2 separate regions of the Mus musculus genome follow, and region 2 is reported to be linked to region 1. The links are microRNA targets in miRTarBase. Many come from high-throughput screens and were not tested one by one. Region 1 holds a microRNA gene; the other region holds the end of a gene's coding sequence.

Region 1 (4,402 bases):
TATGCTGAGTCATCTACCATCAAATACCTGTTGGTATTTTGTTAAGTTTTACTGAGATGAGTATCTAAGCAACTTGTCTAGTGTTTGAAAACTAGAGATAAAATTATTTATGTATTTATGTGACATTGGCCAATAATTCTGAAACTTCTAGAAACAACAATAGGTTCAGAAAGAATAAATTATAGTTTGTCTGAATATAAGGTAAAATGATCTAGATGTCTTAATTATTTAAGAACAAGTACTAAAAACAGAAAACTGGGGAAACTTCATTTCAGTGACACATTTCATAAAATTTCTTACTCAAATCTTTGCAAAATAAATGCAAGATTTATTTTTTTAACCTTTACTCTTTAATTAGTCATCAACCTTATGGAAAAATCTATGTCTAACCCATATAAGTCATACTCTTATTCTTTTTATGTGGAAACAGAAAAATCAAACATATTTACTCATGACTACAAATACATTTGAAAAACAGTAATATTTAAATGTTGAGTAAATAAATGTTTATTTCACAAGATATTTCATGAGGCAAGCCTAATCTTGAAAATGAGTTGTAAATATGTATCATTACATATAATATAATTATATGTCCCTTGGATCTGACTGGGTGCTTGATCTAACAATTATGTTTTCAAAATATTGGGGGACATACCACTTTCTCTCTTGCAATCATTCCTATCTGCTCTATGTACCTTGGATTCTTGACTATTAGATTGTTTCTACCCTATTTACAATTACTGAATCCTTGCTGGACACCTGATATGAGGCATATGGCTTCTTAGTATTCCATTTTTAACTTTTCTAACTTCTACTCTATAAATGACATTCTTTCTTTAAGTAGGGATTAGATTATCTCTTACTCTAGGTACTCTGCCTTAGAGTTTCCTAAATTAAAATGTACAACTACCAAATCTTCTTATACTGGCGTCATGTAAAGAGAGGGTGATACAATTTATTCAGTTCTGCCTGTGAGTCTATAAGAATTTCTGCAGACTCTTGCTATCCCCTTTGTTGATATTTATAAATCCACTAGTATATCTTCTTCCTCTTGTATTCTAAAAGTATTTTAGTTAGCCTCCACCCTCTAATAAATATATCCATCAAAATATTTTCCTAACAATATAACTGAACATATTTGTTTCTTCCACGAATAAACTTTATGGCTCTTCAGTCAAGCAGAATGGTGTTTCCAGTATCTGTCATGACGAAGTGGGCCAGGAGATGGGACATCCTACATATGCAACCAGCCAGCCCCCTCTTAGTATGAAGTAGGGATTTCCTGGCAGCACTATGCAGGATGTTCAACCTCCTCGTCCATGGGAAGGACAACTGCTGCACATGGAACTTCTTTTCTCTTTTGGAGGACTTGCCATTGGTTGATGCTTCTCTGTGCAATTGATGACACGAAGGCTTCTTCTGACCTTGTCTTCTGTTCTGAATGGAATGGCATTGAGTACTGATAATCAGAATGGCCTAAAAACCTGATAATCAATAATCCACCCTTTTGACCAATTATTCTCCAAATGTCAGAACTATCAACATTTATAGAACTTTAAAATAATTGTCTCCATAATACAGGTTCCATAGCACTTTACGAGTTACCCTTTCTAGAAATATTCCAAGTTTAGGCAACCCCAACTGCCTACAGTTAATTTTTTCTTTAAATAATATGCCCACAGTTTTCTTGCACTATAGAACAGTCAGTTTGTACTACTTGAAGGAGTATACTGCACATAATTTTTGAACAATGCTGGCACAGACTAAGTTAACCATTTGTTAATTAACAAAAATGTAGTCCTAAGCAACATGCTGAGATCACAGATTGTGGTTCTGTAATATGATGAGAAAACCCTGAATGGATTAATTATGTAGGGCATAGTATAGCATCTAATTTTCAGCTGAGAAAATTCTGCCTGCTCTGCTCACTCAAGTATCACGCCTGAGGACTTTGTGTTATTTCTAAGTTGTGACCCTAAAAGTCCACTAGAAACTCACACCTGGGTTGTTTATTATGAGCTACAAATAATTTTTACAAAGCATTCTGTAATTGCTCAAATGAGAAAGTTCCATAACTCTAAGGCTTTCTATACACCTTTGAAATTTTTATTATTTTGAGAATTATATATATTGCTTCTTTTTTAAAATCATGTTCTGCTCCTTCTCTTTTCTCTGTCCGTGTCCAACCATCATTCCACATCTACCCAACTTTATGTCTTCGTTTTTAAAACCCCGAGTCCCATTACTTCTTCCTTTATACTCACAGGTATGTGTTTATCTCCTGGAGTGTGATATTCCTATCGGGAACACATATAATCAAGAATAATTCTAACTCTCCTGAAAGGTGTGACTTTAAATTAATCTACTTCCACTCAGACTGCAAGCCATTCCTATGGAATTATGATAAACATTTCCATTTCTCTATTCATATATTATTTTCAGAGTGGTTTGATATGTATAAGGACATATCAAAAACTTTGCATTATGTGCCTTCCCAAGTATATGATAATGATGATTTTTAGCTACATTTGTCATATATAGGTCAATGATGTAGGAGAGGGAATACGAATTGTGACATTAATTTTATGTTTCTATATGTTCTTCTTTGATTTGGGTCCATTGTTTTAAGAGGCTGATAATAAGAAAGAGAGATACAAGTATGTCTTTAGTACATGTTCATTTCTGCCAGACATTAAACAATTTCTCACTTTCTGTTAGCTACAGCCATCTTGAGGCAGAGTATATCTATATCTGAAACAAACATTATAAGCCAAAGTAGGAAGAATGTTTAGGTTAGATACACATTTATTTTACTGGCAGAAACAAACACCTATAAAGTATGGTGTTGTTTGTTACATCGTATGTATTATATCCATATTTTATAAGTGAATGTTGTACATATGATAATTTCATATTATATATAATATGTATGATGACACATGCCCTATTAAACTTGACTCGGTACTATAGGATGTTTTGGTCAATAGTATGCACACAGCTTGGCTCCAGTATGTATTAGAATGCTACATGCTTTTCTTAATTTGATGTAATTTTAGTAATAACTGGGTCCCCTCCAATGATTGACTTTTCTCTTAATTTGTTGATTTTGGCTTTTTTTGTGGAGACTGACACCTGTAAAATAACCCTTTTCAAGAACCCTTCCTGCTCTTCCAGGTAAACCTCTACACTAAGTAATGACCCAGCAGAAGCTGTACTTATATGGACAGCCCTTTCTGAAATTCTGACTCTGGTTAAACCCCAACCCCCCTTAGCATGTCTTCCAACTGTATTCTGTCTCTAACCTAACACATTTTTGGTACCATAATCTTCTCTTTATATTTGATATACTGGAAAGTTTTGGAAAGTATAATCTGCCTGGGTACTCTGAAATGTGTCCTGTGTTATAGTGAACAGCCCAGGTACCAGTACTTTTATGTCTCATGATGTCACAATTAATCTCATTATTGGCATCATCTTTGCTCAGACTTTCAGCCAATAAGGATAGACTAAGTAGTATACAGTGACCTCATTTCAACCAGTGGTCTCAGTCTCACTCTGGTCAGGCCAAGTGGCAGTTCACTCACCCAAAACAGCTCATGTTTGCCAGTTAGTCTAGCCTCCACGTTTTGAAACAAGATCCTTGGAAGAACAATAGACAACGTGTCATTTTGTCTCCAAGCAGCCTATAGACTTTGGGTTTTCAATATTTTCTTTGTGTTGGATGCCTCTGTATTGAAATCTTCAACTCTTTTCAGATTACTATCAAGACTGAATATGGAAAGTATTGGAAACTCCTGATATAACACTACAATAGACTGTCAAGGTTTCTTGGTTTGAACATCTCATTTACAACATGGATGTGTGAATGTGAACTAATTCTGCTGAACCAGACCTCACAATGGGAAGAGGTTTCTTTCCCCGATTTTTCTATCATGATCTTGAAGACATCTATGCAGCCATTAACGGGCTACATCCACCCATCATCCATCGAAAATGTCTGTGTCCATATTTCTTCAACATGCTTCTAGAAATAGTTAATCAACATGGGGGTGGATTTAAGTATTTCCATTTAATAAAAGAAATTGTGAAATATCATCTTGATGCCTATAAGGCTCTTTTATCATAGATTTTTATTTGAGAGGTGGCATACCATGTGGAAGTAGCATAAAATTTTTGAGTTCAAATAGTTTATCTATGTGAAATAGTAGTTGTCCTTTAGTTTTTGTAAATATATCTAGTAATAAACTTCAATTTAGAAACATTTCTTGTTGTTTAAAGTATAAAATATTGGTTGTAGTATTTGTTATTTTATTTAATAAGATGTAAACTGTTTATGTATTATTCTATTTAAGCACATCATTTCAGATCTTCAATAGTAAAGAATGACTTCATAGAATACTTC
Region 2 (4,402 bases), not on the chromosome of region 1:
CCGTCCGCAGCCACGGTCCCCTCGCTCCGCAGCCACCCAGCCTGGGTGCCGTCAGGGGGCCCGGAAAGCACGCGGCCCCCGAGAGGAGCGCGTGGCTGCAGCTTTCCCTCACGCTGACTCAGTCCACACAGCAGATGGCGGAGCTGCGAGGGAAACGACCTCGCCAGTGTTTTTGAAGCTGGCTAAGAGCAGCTAAGGCGCGTTTTGCTGCACGAGGCGCTCCGTTCCTGTGAAATCGCTCCTCGGAAGCTAAGGGCTTCGCTTACGCATTTGACACCACTCCGGGCCTCGCTCCTCGCCTGGACCCGGGGCCCGGGAGGCGGCGGCGGGGGGGGGGGGGGGGGTTGGAGGGGGCGCTCGCTCGGGGACGGCGCGCTCCCGCGAGCGGGTCTGGGGTCGGAGCGCGCGCTCGGCCAGCCCGCGGCCACGCGCCCTGGAGCGCTGACGCCCCCGCGAGCGCGCGCTCCTGCACGCGGCCCGGGGCAGCACGTGCTGCTGCTGCTGGGCCAGGCCAAGCGGGCTGGCGGGCGAGCGGGCGAGCGGGCGGGCGGGCTCCGAGCACAGCCCGGGGCGGGTGCACGGTCACGGGAGTACACTGCTCACTCCTCTCCCTACTCATATACACACACACCATGTTTGGTGCTTTTTTTCCCCGTCGTCTTTACTTCTTAGGTGAGGAGAGGGGAAAGGAAAAACAAAGGAAAAAAATCAGTCATCATTTTTTTCCCTCTCCATGGCACACGAGACTCCATGGAACGCCGTCTAGTGGCGGGATTGTCCAGGGAAGGCAAATCGGTGAAATCTCCCCCTCGACTTGTCATTTTAATTGCAATTTTGAAGCTTCGTTACATCTGTTGCACCACAAAGGTGACACGGGACACTCTCTGGGTGCTGATGAGTTTGATTCTGTCACCTCCAGGCCAACTGAGACTAAAGGAGAAGGTTGAACCATTTTCTTGTCCCTTTCAGGAATCACCCTCTTTGGAGACAAAAGTACAGAAGTCGCCTCTATGAGGTAAAGACAGACTTGCAAACTTTCTCATGAAATTCCTCATTGCCATTTGCTCTCAAGGGTGGGGACCTGACCTGGGTAAAACTGCAACTGAAGCGAGGATCCCCTTACAGAAGACACCGAGGTGACTCCAGGCATCACCCTCAATCCCCAGCCCCTCTCCAAAGCAAATTTTGAATTCGGTTCTTTAACAACAACCTTTCCCTGTGTTGGTTCTGTGGGTCTTTCTCCACCTCACCCGGAACAATGCCCTGAGACCTCCCTCTCTGAGAGGAAGGCCCGTCCAAGTTTGCATTTATAAAGATTCGCCAGTCACCTCCAAGGCCTCTTGGTAAAACCAAATCTTCAGCATCTGCAGGCAACAGTTTGTCTCTTGACTTGTCTTATATTGCACCCTACTCTAACCTAATGCCTCACAAATTACTGTGTGAACTTTAAAGAAATCCTTGGCTCAGCTGCAGACCCTCCTTGTCCTGTCATTTCAGCTTCGGAGAGAATGAGTGCTGGGACAAAGACAGTTTATATATTTTCCTAGAAAAGGCATACAGCAGCAAAGAGAACTATACTAACTGTAAATAAATAGGAAAAAAGTAATAGCTGGTGGTACTATAAAAGAGCGGGTGTAGGAAGTGGCTACTGTCAGACTGCCCAGAGCTAGGAAGAGGGGCTAGTCTTGCTTAACCCCTAAAAGCCATAACCTATAATAATTCTTTGCAAACTGTAAACTGCTCTCAACACCATATTTAGCATTTTACCAGATTTATTTTACTTGTTATACACAGACGATACAAACGAGCAGAAAACAAAACGATTCTCAGTGGAGTGTGTACTTGTATAAATTATTCAATTCACAGACAAAACAAAACAAATATAAAAAATCACAACATTTGATTTACAGGAGAGCCAAAGTATACCCACGTTTAGACCCTGAATTCCTATTAGGACAAATCCCCCCATAGACTGGAATCTAGATTGAATATTGTGTATGATGCATATTTCACATTGATTTTAAAGTACAAAAAAAGTATAAGTTTGCTACACAACATTAGAAATCCTACTAATCTATTTCCAGGGGGATTAATGCTCCTTATCAAATATAACAAGACTTGGGGGGAATCAGTCTTACTTGCAATAATGCTAGTGTTTTCCCAAGAAAGTCAAATTTCAGCTGTCTCTAAGTGGTGGGGGAATCGTTTTTCAAACTAAAATGCAGTAAAATATACAACTCACACAATTCATCTTCACTAGACTACACTATAGTTACCAACAATTCAGTCATCTATATCATTAGTAGATTACTCATTACAAAGATTTACAGCATATAAAGGTGGAGTGGGGTCTGAAAAGATAGTCAGAAACAGTTTATCAGCATATTTGGCACCTGCACAGACCAGTAATGGATTTGGCACTTTGGGGAAAAACAAATAAGGCAAAATAATATTGCTGATGTGGGGCCATTCCATTTAGAAGGAAGGGAGAAACACATAGAACTCCAGTTAAGTCCGCCTGGCAGGCATCGTGTCACTTACTCGACTCGCCTAGGAACAGACAACTAGCTTTTACAGGTGTTCAGGTGGATTCTCCTTAGCTACATTGTGTGCACCAGGGCACACAGTGGTTACATCATGCAACGAACTGAGAAGTGAGAAAGCCACCACTATGAAGTGCTTCGTGTTTCCAGAGCCTCTTAGAATATCTTTAATAACTCACAAGAAAACAAAGGGTGTGGGAGAAGAGAAAGAATGAGAGGAGAAAAAGAAAAGGAGAAGAAAGGAAAGGAATAAAAAGTTAAGCGTGAACTGGTTTTGTGCCTTGACAATGAGAATAAAAACTAGCCATTCGTTACAATAAATTAACACTATATACAATCATTTCACAGGCTTTGTTCCACTAAAAGTATTAACATCCCTACCATCCATCCATCCATCCATCCATCCACTCGGGTATAAGAAAGGACGCGCTGGGTGGGTGCAGGTTCTAGAGTCAACATCCTATGGTTAAATAGGGAGGCCAAGACAAGGCGGGTCGGAATCGCTGCTGCCTGGCAGGATTGCCCAGGTCTCCTAAAGTTGAAGAGTTTCATTCCAAGAGAAAGGAGAGGATGAGTGGGGCAAGGAGAAGGGGGTGGAAAAAAGACAGGGAGGATCATAACCTCACAGACGAAAAGTTGGAAAACCACAAGGTTTACAGCCAGGTTCAAGGTCGGTGCGCTAACTGCAGAGAAGGCTGTGTAGAGAGAAAGAAAGAAAGAAAAAAGAAGAGTTTTAAAATCATAGTGAGAGACCTGCACTTATCCCCGCAGACGGTCATCGAGGGTCAAGTGAAAGAGCGAGTGCGCTAGAACGGGCCTGGGAAGGAGGACGTGGGGCCGAGCTGGGGGGCCGGGGGCACGGGCGGGCGGGCGAGCGGGCTGGCGGCCTAGCTGTGCGAGTAGAAGCCATAGTAGCCGCCTATGTCCTTGGCGCAGTTCTTCTCGCAGTCCCGCTGGGCCAGCACCTCGCTCTTGAGCGGGGACGAGCTCTCAGACACCGGCGTGTCAGCCGGCGAGATCCGCCTCCGCTTGGCCTGCTCGTAAATCCCCGAGTCGCTGGAGTCGATGGATTTGATGGAGGAGGGCGTCTCGATCCAGCTGGAGTCGGACAGGTCCTTGGGCTTGGCGTCCTCGGCGGCGGGCGCCAGCGGCGAGCGCTCGGCCGCCAGGCCCTCGGCCTCCTCGCCCAGATAGGGGTTGGCGCCGGCCATGCGCGCGGCGGCCGCGGCGCTGTTGGGCCAGCAGGGGAGCACGGAGCCCGACTTGGCGCCGCAGTACTGCGGGGGGCTGCGCGCGCCCCAGCCCGAAGGGTCGGCGTAGTAGCCGAGCGGGCGGCCCGTGCAGCCCGCGGCCTGCAAGGGCAGCGCCTTCACGCCCGCGGCCGCATACGACAGCAGCGTGGCCGCGTTGCCGGCGAAGTCCGTGGCCGTGTCGTAGGCCGAGGCCGCGAAGTCCAGCCGGTTGTTGGCCGGCGTGACGAACCAGCGCTGCGGCGACGGCGCGCCCGGGTCCTCGGCCTGCTGCGGGGACAGCAGCCCGTTGGTGTGCGGCACGCTGCGGTCCGTGCCCGGCCCGGGACCCGCGCCGGCGCCCGGGTGGAAGCGGGCCTTGGCGTAGTTGCTCACGAACTGGTCTTGCAGGAAAGAGCCGGCCATGGCGTAGCGGGCGCCGGGCACGATCTGCGAGCGCGGAGAGTCGTTGGGCGACGGGGTCAAGCGGTCCATGTCGCAGCCCGTGTAGATCCTGGGGGGAGGGAGACAGAGAGAACCGAGGGATGGCGCGGAGGTCCCTTTGGGGTCCTGGAGGGAAAGCCACCTCTAGTTTTTGCCCACCCGCACACCGACTGTAGGTTGCCGCTG

Evidence for each region. Region 1 holds the annotated microRNA mmu-miR-448-5p (GAACAUCCUGCAUAGUGCUGCC, at 1,285-1,306, opposite strand). A microRNA usually pairs through its seed, bases 2 to 8, with sites in the 3' UTR of a target mRNA and lowers its output. Matches are read on the target gene's strand: a 7mer-m8 pairs with bases 2 to 8, a 7mer-A1 pairs with bases 2 to 7 and ends in A, and an 8mer does both.
Region 2: miRTarBase lists Tbr1 as a target of mmu-miR-448-5p. Seed matches in the 3' UTR shown: 7mer-m8 at 2,998-3,004 and 8mer at 2,913-2,920.

The regions. Positions count from the first base shown.
Region 1 is chrX:147,155,125-147,159,526 of GRCm38, reverse strand. It overlaps Mir448 (microRNA 448), which reads right to left and starts at 1,317; the gene lies at 1,206-1,317. The region is part of intron 4 of Htr2c (5-hydroxytryptamine (serotonin) receptor 2C); the gene reads right to left.
Region 2 is chr2:61,811,467-61,815,868 of GRCm38, reverse strand. Tbr1 (T-box brain transcription factor 1) reads right to left here. Exons shown (of 6, transcript NM_009322.3): 6 at 1,755-4,286. The coding sequence ends at 3,431. Among named protein-coding and RNA genes, the nearest start is that of Tbr1, 9.2 kb to the right of the region's middle.